Rattus norvegicus: one gene and its partners. The protein of the gene in region 1 binds, or shares a complex with, the protein of each later gene. Links are inferred from orthologs where the notes say so. Each region holds a gene or a part of one and is shown on either strand. Other genes may lie near its edges. The genes, in order: Tprkb, Osgep and Gon7.

The links.
Region 2: Tprkb (region 1) and Osgep share a complex: the UniProt entries of both Homo sapiens proteins name them as parts of the EKC/KEOPS complex. The link is inferred for Rattus norvegicus from reciprocal best matches to the Homo sapiens genes TPRKB and OSGEP.
Region 3: Tprkb (region 1) and Gon7 share a complex: the UniProt entries of both Homo sapiens proteins name them as parts of the EKC/KEOPS complex. The link is inferred for Rattus norvegicus from reciprocal best matches to the Homo sapiens genes TPRKB and GON7.

The regions. Positions count from the first base shown.
Region 1 is NC_086022.1:119,896,870-119,904,609, forward strand, and holds the start of Tprkb (EKC/KEOPS complex subunit Tprkb), read left to right. Parts: upstream 1-3,629; 5' UTR 3,630-3,639; intron 3,640-6,386; exon of another isoform or gene 6,387-7,740. UniProt on the Homo sapiens protein: Component of the EKC/KEOPS complex that is required for the formation of a threonylcarbamoyl group on adenosine at position 37 (t(6)A37) in tRNAs that read codons beginning with adenine.
Region 2 is NC_086033.1:26,613,821-26,621,704, reverse strand, and holds the start of Osgep (tRNA N6-adenosine threonylcarbamoyltransferase), read left to right. Parts: upstream 1-3,591; 5' UTR 3,592-3,680; coding exon 3,681-3,795; intron 3,796-4,371; exon of another isoform or gene 4,372-4,443; intron 4,444-7,003; coding exon 7,004-7,123; intron 7,124-7,226; exon of another isoform or gene 7,227-7,254; coding exon 7,255-7,430; intron 7,431-7,884. Other genes in the region: Pip4p1 (type 1 phosphatidylinositol 4,5-bisphosphate 4-phosphatase), read left to right, coding at 486-629; Apex1 (DNA-(apurinic or apyrimidinic site) endonuclease), read right to left, coding at 1,531-2,331, 2,745-2,932, 3,137-3,191. UniProt on the Homo sapiens protein: Component of the EKC/KEOPS complex that is required for the formation of a threonylcarbamoyl group on adenosine at position 37 (t(6)A37) in tRNAs that read codons beginning with adenine.
Region 3 is NC_086024.1:127,658,244-127,666,147, reverse strand, and holds Gon7 (EKC/KEOPS complex subunit GON7), read left to right. Parts: upstream 1-2,871; 5' UTR 2,872-2,925; coding exon 2,926-3,130; intron 3,131-6,737; coding exon 6,738-6,826; 3' UTR 6,827-7,407; downstream 7,408-7,904. Other genes in the region: putative E3 ubiquitin-protein ligase UBR7, read right to left, coding at 2,518-2,667. UniProt on the Homo sapiens protein: Component of the EKC/KEOPS complex that is required for the formation of a threonylcarbamoyl group on adenosine at position 37 (t(6)A37) in tRNAs that read codons beginning with adenine.

The DNA of each region.
Region 1 (7,740 bases):
CTTGGCTGTAGCTACTCCTACTGAAATGGATCTGTAGCCTACACTGACCTCCCCACTCCTTAGCCACAGTGTGAAGGAGGCAACTCTTGTGTTTCATGAGCCCCTTTCCATCCCAGTAGATCTGCTTTCCAAATAACAGTCCCCAGGTAGGGCATCTGCTGGAGTTCTGAGCCATGCTCACACACAGGGATCTTCTCACACCAGCTAACAGCAGCATCACTATACCGGTATGGGCAAGAGTGGCTTACCTGACTCTCTTTTCCACGTAAACATGAGAAATTTTATTTAAAGAAAATATGAGAATATTTTTGTAAGGACAAAAGGGGAATGCCACCATGCCCAGTGAAAGGGAATATTTCAGAAATTGAAGGAATTTAGTGTGGTAAAATAGGGTTTTGCCTTGGATAATAATGACTAGATTTTTTTTCCCCAAATGAAAACAAAACAAAACAACAACAACAACAAAAATGAGGGTAAAGCCAGGCAGTGAGCGGCAAATGAAGGGCACAAAGTCTTCAGGGACAACCTACGATGGTGCAGTCCTGTGCTGCTACTGGGGTTCCTTAAGTCAAAATTAAGCTCATCTACACGACCCAACGGCCCACAGTTTAAAACAGTGGGTTCTTGTTAGACTGTAAGATATTAATCTCCTCTCAGCATTTGTAAAAAGTACTTAAAAATGCAAACATTTTAATTAACTACTTCTGCTTTTTGTTATCTTTGTCAAAAATTTAACTAGGTAGAGAACCCATCTTAAGCTGATGCTCATTAGGTCTAATTTGTTTTTGTTAACCTCTCTAAATAACCACTTTTATAAGTAATTTTCCCAGTAAATTTAACACCCTATGCATCTGTGTAGCAATCTACGTCTGACCTTGTTTGTAGTTACAGACATTTAATTCATGTAGAATGATTGACACAACACATTTTATACAGAAGTTGTAATGTATACTTATGACCATATAATTCTTTTGCTATTTGTACTATTTTTAACCAGTATCATTCAGAATTAAAAACAAAACCAATCACAATTAGTACTGTTATCTAAAATCCTGGTGTATATGTCTTCACCTTGACAGAAGACATACTTTATTGCTATATTCATAATTTATTTATTGCATCTGTGTATAATCATTGACACTGTTCCCCATTATGGGTCTAAAGTTTATTTTTAAATAGTTAATGCTGTAGACCTTTTACCTTACCTGGCCAAAGAACCAAAATTTTGCTTCAAAACCAAAACTAGGCAGATTAATAAATAATGGGGGGAGGATCTTTAGTTCTGTGTAATTCTTCCATGTGGTGACGCAAACTGATGTGTGTGTGTGTGCGTGCAAGCGCGCGTGCACGCACGCACGCGTGAAGCTGTGAGTGTTGTACTATTTTTAACCAGTATCATTCAGAATTAAAAACAAAACCAAATCACAATTAATACTGTTATCTAAAATCCTGGTGTATATGTCTTCACCTTGACAGAAGACATACCTAATTGCTGTATTCATAATTCATTTATTACATCTGTGTATAATCATTGACACTGTTCCCCATTATGGGTCTAAAGTTTATTTTTAAATAGTTAATGCTGTAGACCTTTTACCCTACCCAGCCAAAGAACCCAAATTTTGCTTCAAAATTGTGAGTGGAGGTTAGAAGGCAAGCTTGTGGAGTTGGTTCTCTCCTTCCTCCTTAGGTGGGCTCAGGGGATTTTATTCAGGTCTCAAGCTTGCTGGGCTATCTTAATGGATTACATACTGAATTTTAACACTAGCTTTCCTTAAATGTTTGCTCATTAGTTCTGTGTGGTGTTCTTTAAGAATTAATATGGCTACCGTCTACAGACATTTTTGCAAAAATACAGCCTCTAATGGACATCCCCATTAGTGTTTTTGGAGATGCTAAGATAGTACCAACTGGATAAACAAAATGTAAAAAAATTGACAAGGTAGGATTCTAGGGTTTATTGGCATTAATTCCTTGACATCTGTCACTCATTCACACCTTCAACACTGAATCAGATCTGTTGGGACAGATCTCATCCCAAGGATGAGAGACAAGATCAAACCACCATAGCCAAGCAATAGTATCTTCAGAGAACATTCTTCAGAGATGTGGAAAGATTTGTCAGTACCAGAACCAAGTCACAGTGGCATGATGTTGCTTGTCTGCAATTCCAGTACTTGGGAAGCTGAAACAGAAAGGCTGACAACTGCAGGACAGCCTGGCCCTCATGAGTAAGGGCCAAAAGTAAAGCAGAGAAGTTAAAGAGAAATGGTTTTTATACATTTTATACCTGACACATTTTCCAACCTTGGTTCATACTTTTATTGTTTATATTTGCTTCAGAACAAGGCATATTTCAGAAATTCTCACTCCAAGTCACAGCTGCTTCTGTTACACATATGCTGTGTTCTGACACACATCTTTTTGTGCCAGAGAATTTTCTTACAAGTAAGAAGTCATTCTGACAATCAACCAGGTACACGGTGTCAGGATCTCATTTTTTAATATGACACAGATCTCAGAGTTGCTACTGACAGCGGAGAATGATTGGGGACAGATAGGGACACTTTCATATTCTGTATTATGAAGACACCCATACTCCACACTGAGGAAAGGAACCTAGTGCTGACACCCTCTTATTTGTTTTGAGTTAACCTCCCAGGTACCTCTGGAGGAGTATAAGGTTGATCTCAGTAGAAACTAATTAGACTCTGAGTTTCAACGTGCCTAGATCCAAACATCTGCAGATGAGAAAGAGTGCAGAAAGCTAACAAAGCAAATATCATCTGCCCAGCGAGGCAAAATGGAGCTCCAGGATTATTGGCTGTCTTTGCCTATGGCCCAATCTCCTCCTTTATATAATCTGCTGGGTGGAGATGGTATAAAATACATGTCTTTAGGGTAATTAATCTACATTCTTAAGACTGTTGGCTCTCTCTGGATAAACTGTAATATTATGATTCAAGCCCTTTATTCATTGGGTTCGCTGACAGGTAGCAAGAATCAAAATCTGATTTTACTATCTAGGTGGCCATCCTTTCCACGAGCAGTACCCTGGTCTTGCACAATTTCCTGAGGCTGATGGATTTTGGGGACTTGATCCCAGTATCACGTCCTTCTGTCTGCTCAAGAAATTTGCCTTTTTCCTCTGTCACAGCTGTGAGAGTCCACTTGTCTCTAGATCTCCAAGCACCGAAAGAGCTCCTTCAAAGTAGGACCCAAGCACGCCACATCCCCGTTTTTACCTGAGAGCATACTCGGGTAAACAGAGTCTCAAAAGCTGATGAATTGTAACTCACGTCCTGGTGAATATTTTTCTTTTCACAGGAAAAGGGCATTCAACACAGGCTAAGAACAAAGCTGACACTCAATACCATACCTCAACTACTAGGCCCAACCTGTAGGGTGCTTTCTGCTTCCGAAGCCGGGACAAAGCAGAAGTAGCTATCCTCAGCCTCCGCCACAAGCGCCTAGCATTAATAGTAGTTTGCTGAAGTTCATATAAACATAGCCAGGAGTCCGCCCACCGGAAACAGGCTGCCTTGGAGTCCGTCCACCTGATCAAACATTAAGCTCTTCCGGAAGTAGAGAGCTTCGTTTCCAAGGGGACGATCTTCTGAGACGGACAGGAGACTGAGGGTGAGTTCCGCCCTGTAGCTCTTTCCATGCGGACAATTTTGTGGGCTAAGTGTGCATGTCTTCGCCAGTGTTTGTCGCGAGCCCTCCCAAGCCGCGGGTGGAGAGCGACATAGTCTCAGGAGTGCGGCTCCGGCCGGAAGGCCACTCGGCTGCGCGCGCGCCGGGGCGCCCCCTGCAGGCGATGCCGGAGGCTGAGGCTGGAGGAGCCGCGTGCGGACCGCTCAGCTACAGCCAGGCCCAGTGCTGGGAGGGAGTTGCTTCCGAGAGTGGCCCCCCACGCCCGGCTTTAGGGGGCCAGCGGGCTCCCAGGGGGCGGGAGGGATCCAGGCAGGAAGCCCGGGAGTACAGGGACGTCTTGTTGGAAAGCCTGACCAACCTAAGTGAGGGCAGGCCATGCCATGCAGGCCGGAGAAGTCAGGCAGGGAAGTTAGGGCTTTAGCTTCAGCTCTGACTTCCTCCTGAAGGACCCGGTGACCATAAGGATAGGTTAGAATTGCATTACTGGTGGCCAGGGCCCGTATGAGGACGTTGTTAGGATGTTAATGATAAGGGGTGATGGTAGTGTCTGTGACAAGGATGAGTCAGAGTTAGAAGTGGATGTAGAAGAGTCAGAACATGGGCGTTGCCTTAGACCACCTCCTGTTGCTAATACCACAATACTTCATCGGGAGAGTGAGGTATTTTATTGTGTTTTCCTAGAAGAGGCTTTCTGTGTGTATCTCTGGCTGTCCTGAACTCACTCTGTAGACCAGGGTAGCCTCAAACTCAGAGATCTGCCTGCCTCTGCCTCAAGCCAGGGAACAGGTTAGGAGGCTAGGCAAACTTGCTTTCACCACAGACTTGCTCTGGAGATGTTAGCCATTATTTTGATGTTTTTACATGACAGAGCATACGGATCACACCTACCATATTCTTTATCAGTTCGATGCTAACATGAGAAAGGCTGTGTCAGGACATTATAAAACTTTTTCTATAACAGAAACCTTCACACATAATTCTAGAAAATCAGAGGTAACTTTCTGTTACGTTTAAGTTTTGTGCTTTTTAAATTTTTTTTAAATATTTTATGTGTAAGTATGTTTTGCCTGTATATATGTGTGTGTGCCACTTGGGTGCCTGGTACCAATGGAGGCTAGAAGAGGGCATTGGATCTGCTGGGACTGGAGTTACAGATGGTTGTGAGCCACCTGAATGCTGGGTCTTGGTCATCTGCAAAAGCAGCAAATGTTCCTTTTTTCTTTTTTTTCCTTAAAGATTTATTTACTTGTTATATAAGTACATTGTAGCTGTCTTCAGACATACAGGAAGAGGGGATCAGATCTCATTACAGATGGTTATGAGCCACCATGTGGTTGCTGGGATTTGAACTCAGGACCTCTGGAATAACAGTCAGTGCTCTTATCCACGGAGCCATCTCTCCAGCCCCCTTTTTTCTTTTTAATTGGATAGTTTATGTATTTACATTTCAAATGTTCCCCCTCTCATCCCCTGTCCCCCTGCTTCTATGAGGATGCTCCCTCTCCCACCCATCCACTCCCCCTCAACACCCTGGCATTCCTCTATATTGGGGAAATGAGACTTCACAGGACCAAGGGCTTCTCCTATTGATGCCAGACAATGCCATCCTCTACTACATATGTGGCTGGAGGCATGAGTCCGTCCCCCCCACCCCCATGTATACTCTTTGGTTAGTGGTTTAGTCCCTGGGAGCTCTGGGAGGTCTAGTTGGTTGATGTTGTTCTTCCTGTGGGGTTGCAAACTCTTTCAACTCCTTCAGTTCTTTCTCTAATTCCTCCATAGGGGTCCCTGTGCTCAGTCTGATGATTAGCTGTAAGCATCTTAATCTGTATCAGTAAGGCTCTGGCAGAGCCTTTCAGGAGACATTCATATCAGGCTCCTGTCAGCAAGCACTTCTTGGCATCAGCAATAGCGATGCAAAGGACACTGTCAATAGGACAAAATGGCAACCAACAGATTGGGTAAAGGTCTTTACCAATCCTACATCTGATAGAGGGCTAATATCTAATATATACAAAGAACTCAAGAAGTTAGACTCCAGAGAATCAAATAATCCTATTAAAAAAATAGGGTACTGAGCTAAACAGAGAATACTCACCTGAGGATTATCGAATAGCCAAGAAGCACCTAAAGAAATGCTCAACATCCTTAGTCATCAGGGAAATACAAATCAAAACAACCCTGAGATTCCACCTCACACCAGTCAAAATGGCTAAGATTAAAAACTCAGGTGACAGGTGATGCTGGTAAGGATGTGGAGAAAAAGGAACACTCCTTCATTGTTGGTGGGATTGTAGACTGGTACAACTGCTCTGGGAATCAATCTGGAGGTTCCTCAGAAAATTGGACATAGTGCTACCTGAGGATCCAGCTATACCTCTCTTGGGCATATACCCAAAAGATGCCTCATCATATAACAAAGACACATGCTCCACTATGTTCATAGCAGCCTTATTTGTAATAGCCAGAAGCTGGAAAGAATCCAGATGCCCTTCAACAGAGTAATGGATACAGAAAATGTGATACATCTACACAATGGAGTACTACTCAGCTATCAAAAACAATGACTTTATGAAATTCTTAGGCAAATGGTTGGAACTAGAAAATACCATCCTGAGTGACGTAACCCAGTCACAAAAGAACACACATGGTGTGCACTCACTGATAAGTGGATATTAGCATAAAAGCTCGAATATCCAAGATACAATCCACAGAGCACAGGAAGCTCAAGAAAAAGGAAGACCAAAATGTAGATGCATCAGTCCTTCTGAGAAGGGGGAACAAAATACTCACAGGGGGAAATAACGGGACAAAGAGTAAAGCAGAGACTACCCCACCTGGGGATCCATTCCATATACAGCAGCAAATGTTCTTAATGGCTGAGCCAACTCTCCAGTCGTGGTTTATGTTCTGTTTTCTGAGGCAGGATCTCATATAACCCAGGCTAGCCTGGGACCGGAGTTGTGTAGTTGAGGGTGACTTTGACCTCTTTTCAGATGAAAATGTAACTTTATACACATGTAATAGGATATATTAGAATAGGCATAGACAAAGAAGAAGCTCAAAGAGTCAGTGCCATTTTGCTTGCAGGGAGGAAGGCGTAAGAAACTGGAACAAACTAGGGTTTTGAGGAAAACATTCCAAGACTTGCCTCCAAAGGAGTTACGGAACATAAAGTTAGGATTCAGGTGCCAAAGTTAATCCTTGCCGCTTAATGTACACGTGTAATAAAGAGTCCAAAATTCCGTTTGGAATAAGAAGTTTTTCATTAAGTATACAACAGTTTGTTTCTCAGAAAGTGATAGGTCACCCTTTAGATGTGGTTTCAGGTCAACCTTTACACGGGGTTTCAGTTATGCAAGTACCAGAAAATCTCAAGTACAAATAACACCTATGCTGATTCAGGCAAGTGTAACACTGAGTCAGTGTTTTAGGTCCTGTTGGTTGTGTTGTAAGCCATCTCTGCAGCCAACATTTTGGGTTTATAAATGTCAGCAGTTATTATATTTTGGTTTTTATTGTATATGCTCACTATAACCTTTTTGTTTTTGTTTATTTTTGAGACAGGTTCTCACTGTGTAGCTCTGGCTATTTTGAAACTAACTATGTAGACCAGGCTAGCCTCAAACCCACAGAGATCCACCTGCTTCTCCCTTCTGAGTGCTGGAATTAAAGGCGTGTGCCACTATGCCCAGCTGATGTTCACCATAGTTAAAACAACAGATGACACACATTAAGTGAAGAGAGTTGAATTTTAATGATAATCATGGTAATTCTTGAGATAATGCTTACACAGAATGAACCAGTATTGATTAATTGGCATTTTACACACACCGACCAAGAAAACTTAAAACAACTATCAAAGGCAGTCTCCCCTGAGTAGACTATGGTAATGTCTACTATTAAATATTTAAATATGGATGCCAAAGTATTACAGAGAGCACTATAGTTCACTTGGAGTAAAAATAGCCTGTCAGTCATCCTAATCAGGATCTTACAAAAGCATCAGGTTTCCAGGAGAGACACTATTCTAGAAAAGTCAGTAAATCTTTTGGTAGTTTTACATCTGTAAAACCAGGAACA
Region 2 (7,884 bases), on another chromosome or scaffold:
AGCTATGGTCCCAGTACTAGGAGGTGGAGGCAGGAGGATAGGATTTCAAGACCATTAACTATAGGATTTGAGGCTGCTCAGGGTGCTGACATGAGACACTAGCCTTAAAAAAACAAAAAAACAAAAAACTGAAGTGAATGAATGAGTCTGGTGATGGGGTCGGGGGTTTGTATTTAGGTAGAGGTGAACTCAAGTCAGAGGTCACTAATAAACTAAGTAAAACAGTGTTCCCACTCTGGAGAGAGAAATGAGTTATCGGCAATCCTGGTTCACTTGGTAGGTGTAAGAAATGCTGGCTGATGCCTGGGATGGCAGAGTACTTTCCTGCTTAAGGGAAGAAAGCTAAAACACCTGATCTTGGTCCCTGAGGGTGTTACAAGTGATTGGGCTGCAGAGACAGAAGTTTGCATTGCATTACTGTTTCTAAGACTTTGAAACAGTGGATACCAAAAGTAACCTTATCTTTTTTTTCTTCCTCCTGTCAGTTTGGCACATGGAAGCCTGCACAGCAATATGGAGGTATCTATGCAGCCTGGGCGTTTGTCATTTTGTTGGCCGTTCTATGTTTGGGCCGGGCCCTTTACTGGGGCTGTATGAAGGTCAGCCATCCTGTCCAGAACTTCTCCTGAGCCCCTTGATGCAGTGTGTGCCTGGCGGCTGCCTGGTACCACAGTAACACTACAAAAGGCTCTCTGGACTTCTAAAGGAAGCCAAACAGCTGGCTCCCTTTTCCCTGGGGAGAGGTAGGAAGGAACCAGCCCCTGACTTAGGTTTGGAGGGGTAGGGAAGACCATTGCTGACTGGCTGCTTTCTTCCAAGGACTGCTGTTTAGGGTAAATAGACAACATTGCCCCTAAGCCTGGATCCTAAAGATGGTTCTAGCCATGTCCTTCCTGTATGTGCTCTTTGAGAACCATTCCTGTCCCTCAGTACATTCCAGGGCAGGGTGGGGGTGGAAAGTGGGAGGGGGTGTTCCCCTCCCTCTTGTGTACCGTTAGGACCTTGCTGCTGCTATTGCACTTCACCAGGGGCTGGCTCCGGCCTCAACACCCTCAGTCTCTTCTCCCCACATTTCGGGTCCCGTGGGGTGGGGTCAGCCACTGCTCTGTACAGAACTACAGGAACTGTTGTGTATATATATAACTATTTAATATGGGATATGTTCCCCTAACCCTGTGCATCCCTGAATTCCTCCTTCCGGCTTTACTTCCAGTTGAAGTATTGAACTGGGCTGAGGTAGGGTCACTGTCTTGGGAGAGGTCAGGGATTCATCTGTGCTTGTAAATAAATAATGTCATGACTGTAACCTTTCCCATTTAACAAGTTTTGTGTTTGAAAGGGGGAATATTTAGACTCAAAAAGGGACAGAGACCATGAAGTTGAAAAGTAGGACTTTTATTTCACTTGGATTGTTTAAAGGAAACCAGAAGTTTGGTTTAGAGGGGAGTAAACACCTGAAGAAGAGATAACGCACTGGTCTCCTGGAGGAGAGGAGGCTATTTCCCAGCATGAAGCTACTTGAGGGGAGTGTCACAGTGCTAGGTAAAGGGTGATGGGACAGTGGTCACTGCCAAGAGCCTTGGACCGGATCTTGCTGTCGCACAAAGCAGGTAAAAGAGAGTGAGACAGCAAAAAGTAATCAAGGCGCCAACCAACATTCTTAGAGCGGGCATTCATCATGTAAGTCCAGAAAGTATAAGCGTAGGCAGTGTTGGGGTAGAGATGCCGGAAGCTGTCAGCCAGTGGTACAGCCTGTAGCATTTCCCCAAAGCCTTGGCGCTCCTGGGGAGTAAAACCAGCATTCTTTTTGTTTCCTTTGGGGTTACGAAGGTCTATTTCTTCATGAGCCACATTGAGATCCCCACACAGCACAAGAGGTTTCCGGGAAGCCAAGTCCTTTAGAAACTTTCTGAAGGCTTCATCCCATCGCTGTCGGTACTCCAGTCTTACCAGACCCCTTCCTGCGTTCGGAACATAGGCTGTTACCAAGATAAAGGACTCAAATTCAGCCACAATCACCCGGCCTTCTTGATCATGTTCTTCCTCACCTATATAAAAATGAAAAGCAGCACAAAATGTTAAAGAAATAGTACAGTAAAATGAAGAACATTCAGACATGAATGCCATTGAGGTCTCACCAATGCCATAAGAGACTTTGAGCGGGCATTGGCGGGAAAGTAGGCCCACACCACTATATCCTTCTTTGTCTGATGGAGCTGACCAGTACTGATGGGTGAGTCCAGGCAGCTCTTGCAGTTCAGCCGGGAGTTTGTTCTCTGAGCATTTGGTCTCTTGGAGGCACAAGATGTCTGGTGCTTCTTCCTTTACCCACTGAATGACAATGTGGAAAATTAAAAATTGCTACATACAATATGCCGAAGGAATCCAAGCAGCAGGATATATAAACAAACTGTGTGTGGGAGTGAATGCCCATTAGTCACCTGAGTGGAGTGCGGGAAACCTAATTGGAGCCTCTGCAAGCTCAGCAATGTCTGTTAACTGCTGAGCAACTCCAGCCCTCAGCCCACTTGGATCTTAAATGACTGGGATTGAGGATATGGTAGAAACACAAGGGCATATCCCCCCCCCCCGACATTATAGACTAGTTTAAAAAAGAAAGAAATGAGGGGGTTGGGGTTTAAAGAACAGACTTTTTGGAACCAATCTCCAGGAAAAAAAGCCTACAAGATGACTGATCCTTAAGAGTCTATCAAGTAAAGTTTACGTCCCTCAATTGTACTCACATCCAAGCCTTTCTTTTTAATCCAGGCTCGAAGCCCATCCACATTCCAGGAGCATATCTTGAGTGTGGCAGATTTGCCACTGGCTGACGTTTTCTGATCTGGAGGGTCCTCATACAGGACAGGGCCCTCTCCTGCGGCCTCCTTCTCAGTTTTCTTTGCTGCCCCCTTACTCTTCTTGGTCTCTGGCTCTATAAAATAAGTCAAGTAGTAAGAGCTGGCAGTTTCCAACCTCAGAGTTAACTATGATCTCGTTAGGCGCTCTAGTTACCCAAACATCTCGGAATCCTGCAACGTAACTTGGTCCATATTAAGCAAGTAGTTAATGGCGGTCTAGTAAAGCCCCAAACTTGCCTGGGGGGAGGGGAGCGATCCGGTTCATTTCACCACCTTACCGGACTTGGGTTCTTCCCCGTCTTCCGCTGCCGCTCTCTTCCCCCGCTTCGGCATCGCTGTAACGAAAGCCCTTAGGCGTCTGGAGCACCGAAGCAGTGTTTACTACGCTGCCTGCAGATAAGAAACGGTGAAATCAAAATACAAGGAGAGGAAGCGAGCCGCCTCCCGCAGGCGTTTGCACACCGGGACCGCGGTTCTCCCAGTCTTCCCCGCCTTGAGCCTCGCAGCCCCTCGCCCGAGTTAGGCCCTTCGGCAAACAAGGTCGCGAAACGGGGTAAGCCTGGTACCTGACCTCCCAACGAGGCAGGGAGCCCCTCACTGCACAAAGAATGGAGTCTGTCTGTTCCCACGTGGGCGATTGGTGTTGTCACGTGATTCGAGGGCTCCGCCCCCACGTGGTTCTAGAGCGCGGTGATTGGTTCGCCTGCCACTCGTGACATAACTTCTGGCGCCTGAAGGTCCCTTCGCTTGGTTCTGGGTCGTTCATCGCGGTGCCGGTTACAGCTAGTCCTTCAGTTCCACGATCCCGAATCACGGGGTATCATGCCCGCGGTGCTGGGGTTCGAAGGCAGCGCCAACAAGATTGGCGTGGGCGTGGTCCGCGACGGCACGGTGCTGGCGAACCCGCGGCGCACATACGTCACGGCCCCGGGCACCGGTGAGTGGCTGCTGCCGCGCTTGCAGACTCCTTGTCGCATTTATTTCTGTCAAGGGTTCTTTGCTGATTTCCCATACTGTTGCTTCGTCAGCGTTCCTGTTGGTATTACTGCCTTGTGACCCTACTCCAGACTCCCTTAAAAAAAAAAGGAAAGAAAAAAGACCCTGATTTCGCGTTTGGTTGGTAACTTTTTGACTAGAACAGTCAGACACGTGGGCTTAGGACACGTGTGTTTGTCAAGGATTTTTTGTTGTTTTTTTATTTTGTTTTGTTTTGTTTTGTTTTTTAAAATACATAATTTGAGACGGTCTCACTGACCTGGAACTTGCTTTGTAAAGACTATAGCTCTTGAGTGCTGGAATTAAAGACGTGAGCCACTCCTCCCTATTGCATTCGTTTTATTGAGCACCTTTTATGAGCTGAGCTTTTAAAAATAAGTGTACCGAGGCTGTACACTGTACATGCACATAGAGACTGTTTTACACTAGAGCGAGATAAATATAAAAGTAGTCTACAATGAGGAAAGGGGAGAGCCGGACAGATATCAGGAGTTACTGTATTTTCGATCTGTTTTAGGTGTCTGTCTTTCAGTCCTTTTAGAATGGAAATGAATATCCGTGGGTTTGGACAACTATGTGAATGCACCAGGTACTGCACAACTCCCAGTTAACATATTTACAAGTTACATGTTGCCTACCCTCTCCCAAAGCTTGCACACATACATACAAGCTGCATTTATATCTGAAGACTCCCTAAGCAAGTGAGATGTTTCAGGTTATGTAGTAGAAATGTATGTGTGTTCAGGACTCACTCTTCTAGGCTCTTAGGCACAGAGGCTGAGATACTTGAGGTGAAAGGGAAGCTACTGACAGTTGTAGTGCTGTCATTATGTTAAGTCCAACAGTCACTTTTCCTAGGGCTCTCTGTACAGGGGAAGTGACCAAAGAGTGGGAGGTCTGGATAACTTGGATTGCTCCTGAGTGTTGTGTGTGGATGTCCGCAGCGTCTCTGAAACCCCAGTAGCCTGTGTAGAAGTTGGAAAGCTAGCTGAGTGTGTGGTGACGTCTGTCATCCTAGCGCTTGGGAGGCTGTGACAGGGTCTGTGTTTTAAGGCGGTCCGGGGTTATGTGTAACCTTGTCTTAAAAGTAGAGGCTTGAAAAGAGGGTATCTTAAGACGTAGGCGAGAAAAGGATTTTTTTTCCCTACATCGTTAAAACATGTCCGTGTTGGTTTTTACTTCTAATTGGGCAGTGCAAAAATAATTGCAGGTTTTGCATTGTCAAAATTCATAGTTTGATACTAGAATGCATTTATAATCGTTCATTTTCTGCCTCGCCCTCCCTCCCTGCCTGCCTGCCTGCCTGCCTGCCTGCCGGCCTACCTGCCTACCTGCCTTTGCCTCCCAAATGCTGGGGCTACAGGCGTGTCTTAATGTGCACATATCACATTGGGGTTTGGATGAGCTTTATTTTTATTTATTTTTGGTCTATGACACTTCTTGCTGTTTATGTCTATCTATCTTATACTATGGAAATTATGTTAGACAGAAATAAAACTAAAGCCAGGTGTGGGAGCTTAAACCTGTAATTCGAGTACTCCAGGAGGCAGAGGCTGGCAAATCTCTTGAGTTTGGGGCCAGCCTGGTCTAGCAAATTCCAAGCCAGCCATGGGTACACCGTAAGACCCTGTCTCAAAATAAATAACAAAAATGGAATCAAGGAACGACTGAGTTTAGAATGGGAGGTAAAGCAGTGGAGATGACTTGGAATCCTAGCAATCCTAACATTCGGTCCCTGGAACTGCTTACTAACAGTGCCTTGGTGGTTTAGGACCTTGCAAGGAGACTAACAAGAGCACTGAAATGGTTGGCTATCAGAAGTTGGCTTTGACCTGTTTACTGAGAACAGCTGTGGAAGCTGATCTTACAGCTAAAGAAATATATACCAAAGCGCTCAACGTGGACCAATCAGTGATCATTTGAATATTTGAAAAGTTAAAACAACACAAAACAAAACCTTAGTAGGTTGATACCTCATAAACAGACTGAAAATCCAACAGCCGTTGTTTTCGGCTCTCATGTATGAACCATTTCTTGGGTTGTGATGACAAAAAGTGGATTGTAGGGGAAAACTAGTCATAGCCAGCTTAGTAGTTGAACTGAGAAGCCCCAAAGCCAAATTTTCACCAAAAATGGTCCGGGTCACTGGTGGTCTGCTGCTGGTCTGATCCACTACAGCTTTCTGAATCCCAGGGAAACCATTGCATCTGAGAAGGGTGCCCAGGGAAACCATTGCATCTGAGAAGGGTGCCCAGGGAAACCATTGCATCTGAGAAGGGTGCCCAGGGAAACCATTGCATCTGAGAAGGGTGCCCAGGGAAACCATTGCTTCTGAGAAGGGTGCCCAGGGAAACCATTGCTTCTGAGAAGGGTGCCCAGGGAAACCATTGCATCTGAGAAGGGTACCCAGGGAAACCATTGCATCTGAGAAGGGTGCCCAGGGAAACCATTGAATTTGAGAAGGGTGCCCAGGGAAACCATTGCTTCTGAGAAGGGTGCCCAGGGAAACCATTGCTTCTGAGAAGGGTGCCCAGGGAAACCATTGCTTCTGAGAAGGGCACTCAGCAGATCATTGAGATGCACCAAACTATAGCTCCAGCAGTCAGCATTGTTTAGCAGGAAGAGCCTGATTCAGAGCAATGCCTGACTGCCTGTGGCACAACCCATGCTTCAAAACCGAATGACCAAAGTGAAGCTTTGCTAAATCCACCACATTTACCCGACCTCTCATCAACTGACCACCGCTTTGTCACTACCCTGACAACTTTTCTTGGGGAAAACGTTTCCACAACTTGCAGTATGCAGAGAGTGCTTTCCAAGAGTTTGTTGAAACATGGGTTTGCTGCAGGAATAAATAAATTTTTTTTGTTTGAGACAGGGTCTTTGTACAAATCCCTGGCTGTCCTAGAACTCTGTAGACCAGCCTGGCCTTAGACTCATAGAGATCCACCTGCCTCTGCCTTGCTGGGATTAAAGGTTTGCACCACCACCGCCTAGCTGACTGGTTTGTTGCAAGATGTGTTAATAAAAATGGTTTGTGTTTTGATTAATAAAAATGTGTTGGAACCTAGTTACAGTGATTTAAAGTTCACAGCCCCATATCACACTTCCCTTTGCACCAACCTAATACCTGCCTTATGGTTCCGTAGGTTTCCTTCCAGGTGACACGGCCAGGCACCACCGAGCTGTCATCCTAGACCTACTGCAGGAGGCGCTAACAGAGGCAGGGTTAACCCCCAAGGACATCGATTGCATTGCTTACACCAAAGGTAAGGCTGGGGGAGTGGTCAGCAAGGGCGAATGTGGGTGGAGCTACCACCACCCCTGTTACACATTCTCAAATCTACTCTACACGTCTTTCCTAATTTCTAGGATTCTAACCACGTGTGTACCCTGTTAGGTCCTGGCATGGGAGCCCCACTGGCTTCCGTAGCTGTTGTTGCCCGCACTGTGGCCCAGTTGTGGAATAAGCCTTTGCTAGGCGTGAACCACTGCATAGGCCACATTGAAATGGGCCGCCTCATCACTGGAGCCGTCAACCCAACTGTCTTGTATGTCAGCGGAGGAAATACTCAGGTACTTAAGAGGACTCTTCATACTCCCTCTTAGTTCTAAGGTAGTCTACCTGAGTCACAGGAGCTGCAAGGACATTCCAGGCACGTTCGGACCTAAGACACTGTAGACAATACAATAATAGGTATGAAGTTGCAAGTTTTGGAGAAGAATTAGAATGTTAGAACTTTATACATACACCTAGAATCTTTCATTTAAAAAGAATGTGAATTTAACCCTTCAAGATAATATGCCTCTCTTTTTTTAATTTAAAAAAAAAACAAACTTTGTTTTACTTGTGTGGGTGTTTTGCCTGGATGTATGTAGGAGCACCAGGACGACAGAAGAGGGAATGAGATCCCTGGGAACTGGAGTTGTAGACAGTTGTGAGCCACCGTGTGGGTGCAGGGAATCGAACTCAGGTCCCTTGGAAGAGTAGCCAGTGCATTTAATTACTGGGCCCTCTCTCTAGCCTTAT
Region 3 (7,904 bases), on another chromosome or scaffold:
TTGCCAGTCCAACTACACAAATGTCTATTTTACTTTAATTTGCTCCTATTTTACTAAAGAATTTGCAGGGCCAGTGAGGTAGCTCCGTGGGTAACGTCACTAGTTGTGTTTAGCCTGGAAGCCTGTGTCCCATCTCCAGAACCCATATAACAGTGGAGAAAACAATTAACTCCACAAAGTTGTTCTCTGATGTATGCCTGCCCATGTGCTGTGGTACACATGCCCACACACAGCAGTAAATACGCTTTTTAAAATCCACTTGAGGGCTGGAGAGATGGCTCAGCGGTTAAGAGCACCCGACTGCTCTTTCAGAGGTCATGAGTTCAATTCCCAGCAACCACATGGTGGCTCACAACCATCTGTAAAGAGATCCGATGCCCTCTTCTGGTGTATCTGAAGACAGCTACAGTGTACTTATATATAATAAATAAATAAATCTTTAAAAAAAAAAAAATCCACTTGAAGTTAGAGCGATGGCCCAGAGGTTAAAAGCACATACAGCTCTCTCAGAGAACTAGCACTGGGTTCCCAGTACATACACTGGGCAGCTCACAACCCTGTAACTCCAGCTCCAGAGGGATCAGATTCCTCTACTTTCAAGGGTACCTGCACTCACATGCACATATCCACACAAATACTTAAAAAATAAGTCTTAAAAACAAAAAAAGTACCGTCGGGCGGTAGTGGTGGCACACAATTTTAATGCCAGGATTCAAGAGGCAGAGGCAAGGCCTCAGAGTTCAAGGCCATCCTAGGCTACAGAGTGAATTCCAGGACAGCCAGTGCTACACAGAGAAACCCTGTCTCAAAAACCTAAAAGAAAATAATTATTATCACTATTAATATCTATACTTATAGGATATACAGAAACTTATGACCAGACCTTTAATCCTAGCACTTGGGAGGGAGATGGATCTTTGTGAGGCCAGCCTGGGCTACATAGTGAGTTTCATTCTAGTTTGAACCACACAATGTGACTCTGTCTCAAAAAACACAGCAAAATCCACAAAAGAACAAGACTTTAAGCCAAGCATGGTGGTGTACACTTGTAATACTTTGGGAGGTGAAGAGAATAATGAATGCAAGGCAGATTTGGGCTATATAAGATCCTATCTCCAACAACTGTAGTGAATATTTTATAAAGCTAAGTATATTAATAAACAGCTCACATACAGCCTTAGGACCTTTCTTTCCTTCCAAGGAAGGGGTGGTGTATGTGGTTTAGTGGTCATTGAATGAAAAAAATAAAAATAAAAAAGGAAGGAAAGGACATATCTGTTCCTCGGTGTGGTGGGAGAGAAAAAGTTTATTATTAAAGGAAGAGCATCGGGGCTAGGACACCTGAGAGTCCAGAGTCTAAACAACCCTGAGCTGGGCCCTGTGAAAGGAGAGAGAGAGGACTGGGAGAAAGGATATGGAGCCAGGTGCTACAGTCCAGAGACCCAAGAGAGCTGGATAAACAAAACGGTTGGATTATTTAGGGAAGGGAAGAGGAGGGAAGGGTAGCCCAGCCCCAGTCAGGAGGGCTCCGGAAGGGACAGAAGGACAGGGAGAACCTGGAGGCCACCATCCTCTTTGATATGTTAAATAGGCACAGCAGCCCCTTTGTCCAAAGTTTGAAACCTAACAGCGATCCTTCGATTTAAATGCCAGCGACTACTGTGCGACCGTTTCTGGGATACAAGACTTATTCAACAATCCAACAATTTTGCAGTGCAAACCCAACTTGGTCAACAAAGAAAAATAGTATTATGACTTCGGTCCACACCACACAATTAACTCCAAGCCCCTTCACTCCTTCCCCAGTCTTCCTCTCCAACCATGGGCATAGTTAGCCTGTTTCCTTCCACCAATTCTCATCCTTGTTAAGTTTCCTTCCTACACACCCTTTTCCACTTTAGTACTTAAATGTATAGTAAGCGTCAGTAAACGCTACATCCCAGCCCCTCAAACTCTTGTTCAGAAACCCCAAGAAGATCCTTTTCTCCTCTCTTGGTTTTCCAGGGCCACCTGATGTTCTGGCTTCGATCTACTCCCGAGGGAGAGGGGGTGTCATACAGCACTTATACACGGAACTTCATTTAACCGGAAGGGGGGGGAGGCGCAGCTAGCAGTTAAACTAGACTACAGTAGTGTCCAGAAGCCCACCCTCACCGGAAGACTTTCGAATTCGGCCCAATTTTTCTTTACGTTTCCCCATCTAGTCCCTTAATTAACATTCTTTAGGGGTAGAAGTGGGGCGAAGAATATCTGGATTTAAGAGGTCACAAGAATAATCTCGTGGAAAGCAGGCCACCAAGAGGCGACAACTGGAGGACAGAGCTGCTGCTCCAGGACCGAAGCCTACAGTGTATGGCCAGCAGGACAGAAGGACAGCCCTGGTGGTGACAAGCTGAGGATCAAAGGGCAGCTGGGCCCCGGCTGTGGAAGCACAAAGTAAAGGGCCGCCCCGGAGCCGGCCGGGCTGCGGCCAGCGGGAAACAGGCAGGTCGGCGGGAGCAGCCGGGCCACGCGCACCTGCGAGTAGGAGCACTTCTCGGAGTCGCTGCCGCCCAAGACGGCGCACGCCTCATTCTCCAGCTCCTCGTCTTCCTCGAGCACGTCCACCAGCGACACCACGGGCTCCAGCTCCGCCTGGCACCCGGTGGGACTCTCGGCTCCGGCCATCCTCAACTGTCACCGGGCTCCGCTGCGTGGCCCTGGAGGCGGCGGGAAAAGTGGCCGCCAGGGGCGTCGCGAGAAGGAGGGGCCCGAGCACCAGCCAACCAATCCCAAGGAAGGAGAAGGAAGAAAATAGGCGGGGCAATTCCGGGAAAACGGAAGTCATCCCTCCTACTCTCCTCTCCCGCCCGCCCTGGCTGCGGGCTGGCTTCCGCTTCCGGGTGACGATTCTCTGTGGCGCGCTGTTGAAGCTGAGCGGTCGCCATGGAGCTTTCTGGCGAGTATGTCGGTGGTGACGGGGAGCCGCAGCGGCTACAAGTGTCCTGTGAAGCGTCGAGCGACGCGGACCCTCTCCAGAGCCTGTCGGCGGGCGTGGTCCGCATGAAGGAGTTGGTAGCGGAGTTCTTCGGGACCCTAGTGGAGCAGGACGCACAGGGCGTGGCGGAAGATCCGGAGGACGCTTTGGATGGTGAGCGCGGGGGCGGGGCGCCGGGGGACTCTGGCGGGGGCAGGCAGTGTGAAGGGCAGCCTAGAGAAGGCGAGACTGGGGGAGGAGGAATCGCTTCTAAAAATCGTTAGTCCTCTCTGCCCTCTTTGTCTGATCTCCCACCGCGGCGAGTGTTGGATTAGGGACTGGACAACGAACGAAGTCAGCTCGACTCCCTTGCAAAGGATCGAGATAGGCAGATCTGCTCGAGAAAGTGTGGTGGTCTGTAACCATTGCTAACTGGCAGGAAGACCGAAAGGGCGGGACTTTGGAGCTGATTGTTGAAAGAAGAAAAGGAGTGAAGTTAGAAATTAGAAAAACATTTGACAGAATAAGAGCTTCAGATGATCGAGACCCACTTTGTTTTAGGGAATCTTAACCCTCTCAGTTTTATAGGTATTGTTTTGAAAGTAAAAGGGTTTTTTAGTTTTTAAATTAATTGATAGTTTCATTCATGTATGTAGTGCATTCTGGTCTCTCTCTATCCCCCGCTGAACCCCTTCCCAACAGGGCTCCTGCCCTTTCTTTTGTTGTCACTCACTGAGTTTATTTAAGGATATTTGTGTGAGCTTGGGTGGGTTGTTTACAGGAACTAGGGCAACTCAGCAGTGACTAAACCACTGAAGAAAACAATGACTCCGCGCCCCCCATCAACTGCCAAACGCTCCTCCGGGAGGAGAGGCGCCTCATGAGCCCCTCCCTCTTCCATGATCGAACGTTTAGGTTGCCAACTTTTACTGGTTATCACCGCTGCCGTACACTTTCCTTTCCTCTGGCTCTTGCTTTCTCTCACCCCCTCTACTGTTCTAGAAACTTAACTGTTAGGTTTGGAGTTTGTTTTTAAAGATGGATGTTTTACCTGCATGCGTGTCTGTACACCACTTATGTGCAGTGCCTTTGGAGGCCAGAAGAGGGCATCAAATCCCCTGAAGCAGAGGTACAGACAGTTGAGAGTGCCTTGTGCATGCAGGGATAAAGTTGGCAGTGCTCTTAACCGCTGAGCCATCTCTCCAGCCCCAACCCTGTTACTAGGAATAAAATTATTTTGTAGACATTGTCACCATGTAACTGTTAAACCAGACTAGCTTTGAGTTGCAGAGAGCCGCCTGACTCTGCCTCAGCAGTCGGGAATAAAGAAATGTGCCCACACTCAAGCTTGGCTACATTTATTTTTCTTATCTTGAATTGAATCCCAAGATAGATATCGTCCTGAACTAAGGAATCAAGGAACTAAGGAGGAGGTTAAACTGTACTTCCTAATTCTTTATAATATGGGCGTTGGCTGTCATTAAAAGGTATTATCTAGATGTATTAGGTTTCTTCAAAGGAGCAGAACTGAGTAAGAGTGACTTATGGCCTGTGGTCTGAGTAGTCCAAAAAAAGCCCTGACAGAGGGGCTGGGGATTTAGCTCAGTGGTAGAGCGCTTACCTAGGAAGCGCATGGCCCTGGGTTCGGTCCCCAGCTCCGAAAAAAAGAACCAAAAAAAAGCCCTGACAGAAAAGCCAAGAATCTGGTAGTTGTTTGTCCATGAGACTGGATGTCTCAACAGTCCCAGTCAGGGACTTAAGACTTTCTTAAGAGGACTCCAGTTTTCAGTCTTTGTTCCAGTCCTAAAGAAGTAGGTTCTAACACCAACAAAGGAGCATCGTGGGCATCTCGGTAACAGAGTAGAGGAACTTGCTAGTCAGAGTGAGGGCAAGCAGGCAAAAAAAGCAAAAGCTTCCTTCCATATCTTTTCTCATGGGCTGGGCAGGTTGACAACCAAGATTAGCTATCATACTAGGATATGATAGGCCCTCGTTGGTGGAAGTGTAAAATGGTTTGTCCACTTTAGAATTTCTAAAAACTTAACCATACCACCCCATAATTAAACCACTAGTTTTCCAAGTTAACTGGAAATATGTTTATACCAAGATTCAATACCTGACGGTAGCAGCACTGTTCATTGGTAGCTGAAAAGTGAAAATAATACAAATGCCCATTCTTTTAATTTTTGAATAATAGTCATGTGAAAATTGTTGGATAATGTCTAACAATTAAAGTAAAGCCAGCTGCATAGACATGAGGGCTTGAGGTTGACTCCCCAGAACCCATGTAAGACCATGTGCCTGTAATTCTTGTGCCCTTGCAGTGAGTTGGAAGATGGAGCCAGGAAACTTCATGTATGTAGAGACCCTTTCTTAAAGTGGAAGGTAAAGACCTATACTGAAATGGTGACCTCTGTGTGTACTATAGCATGTATATACACATCATACATACACATATACACAAAGGAATGATACGTGGATTCACAGTACAATGGTAACGAATCCTAAGACAACAGTCAGGCACAAATGGCTCTACACTCTTCATTTGTCTGAGATGTCCAAACTAGGCAATCTATAGCAGCTGAAAGTAAATTAGTAGTTGTAAGAGAAGGATGCGTGTACCTGAACACAGGTAACCGTACATGTGGCAGAATGTAGGTTAATATAAATGGGTTATCCTATGATCTAATCAGAGAAGAGCCTATATGGCCAAAGTATTTGTACATATACTTTGAGTCTGAGTCTTATTTCTGGGAACATTGGTCTAGGAGGAAGAACTGAAATCAGACTTGTACAAAATGGTACCCCATATTGGGTGCCAATATGTTATATTAGAAGTTTCTTATCCCACCTTAGATCATTTAGTTCTCAGATTAAAAGACATACAACTTTATATTTATAATATGCTGTTAATGCACTAGAGCTGGGCAGATACCTCCCTTATAAGCTATTCTGATCCACTTCCCCATCAATAATCCTGAGTTACAACTTGCTGTGTTCCATCTGGGCAGCTCTTAACTCCAGCTGGCCTACCCTCGTAGCCTGGCCATGTTTTCATGACTCACCTACCCCCGTGGTGTCTTCTCTCCATCTTCTTTTTTCTTGTGGTTCTCCTCAAACCAAGAGAACCGAAACTGTACCTACCTCTCCTCTACCCAGCTATAGGCAGTAGGCATCTTTATTCAACCAGTAGTTTTAAATTAAGGAGCCAGGGTCACATATCATTCATTATTTGATGTATGTGAGGATTCTCTTGTCCCTGGGGCAATAATAAAGCAGTACATTATAGACAGGCTGGCCTCAAACTCAAGAGATTTGCCTGCTGCTTCCTTCCGAGTGCTGTAATGAAAGGTGTACAGTTACGTTGTTTTTGAGATGTGGCCTTACTGTGTGGCCCTGGCTCCCCTGGAATTTACTATGTAGATCAGGCTGGCTTTGAACTTAGAGAGATCTGCATGTTTCTGTCTCCTAGGCACTAAGATTAAAGGCTGTCACATTCAACTAATTCCTGAAGTTTTTAAAAATTCATTTTAGCATGATGCATATGTAGAGTGGGGTCTCCTTTTTATTGGGCTCAAGGGATTGAACTCAGGTCACCATATTTACCTGTACTGCATTTACTTTGACCCACTGAGCAATCCCACTGGCTCCTAGCACTTATAAAGTGTAAGATATGTGTGGTTGTTTAGTCCCCAAAGGGACGTCTCGTATCAGTCTCTTTACCTATTTGTATTTCTTTTATCCACTAAACATATCATACAACAGACATTTATTTTAAAAGGTGATGAAGATGATGCAGAAGATGAAAATAACTCTGGTAGAACTAACTCAGATGGACCATCTGCAAAACGACCTAAACCAACTTCTTAACACAGCTCTTAAGACATTCAGACTGCTACCAGGCTGAGTGAGATGATGTGTACTTGTAATCCCAGTTCGTTCAAAGGCTGAGGCAGTATAATCAAAGTTTGGAGGCCAACTTGTGTGCTACATGCCAAGACCATGCCTCAAAAAAAAAAAAAAAAAAGGCCCAAGACAGCAGGGCAATGCTATCCTCATCACTGGAATTACAGAAGACCTGTGCTCTAGCTGGGAAATTCATTTTCTTTCACTGGAACATCACAGAGCAAACTTTCTTGTTCCTAACAAAGTACAAGTGTTTGGGAGTGAACTCCTGTTGTCTCATCCTAAAATAAAATGAAACCGCTCACAGTGAATGAACTCTAAATTGGCAAATGAATTTTTATGTTTGTTTTTCTCTCTTAAAATGCTCATTGAATCAAGTGGTGTATGTCTACATCTTTCAGTGTTTATAAAAGCTGCTTGTTGTAGTTCATAGGCAATTAATATTTGAAAGAATTGATAAGAAATATGACTTGTGTGTATATATATACATCTGTACAAGTATAGATGTAAAGCCCAAGTCAATAAAATACATTGGTTGTAACTTACCTATTTCCTGTAGCCATTTTTTTTTAATTTTAGTCAAAAGGGAACTGTTGAATAGTTTAAAAAATATAAATTCCTAAAATATATTGTATGTGTTCTTTTCTGCTGTTTATCAGTGGAACTAGATAGAGTAGTTTTTTTTTTTATTTATAGTGCATCTTATCTGATTTTGACACTTGAAATGCAAAATATACCTAGTGAAATTAGAATAATTCTTTTAATTACATATTTTGTTTTGAGGCTGGTTCTTGCTATGTATGTAGCCTAGACTGGCCTGGAATTCACTGCATAGCCTACCTGGCTTTGACCGTTTAATGTCTTACTTCTGAGTATTAGGGATCACAGGTGTACACAACCATGCCTGGCTTTTTGTTACTTAGAGACATGGCTTTACTGTGTGCTGAAGTTGATCTGGACTCCCTAGTTGTAGCCCAGCCTGTCCTCAGACTCATTTTTCTGCTTGTCACTTCTTGGGTGCTGGGATTACAGATATATTCTG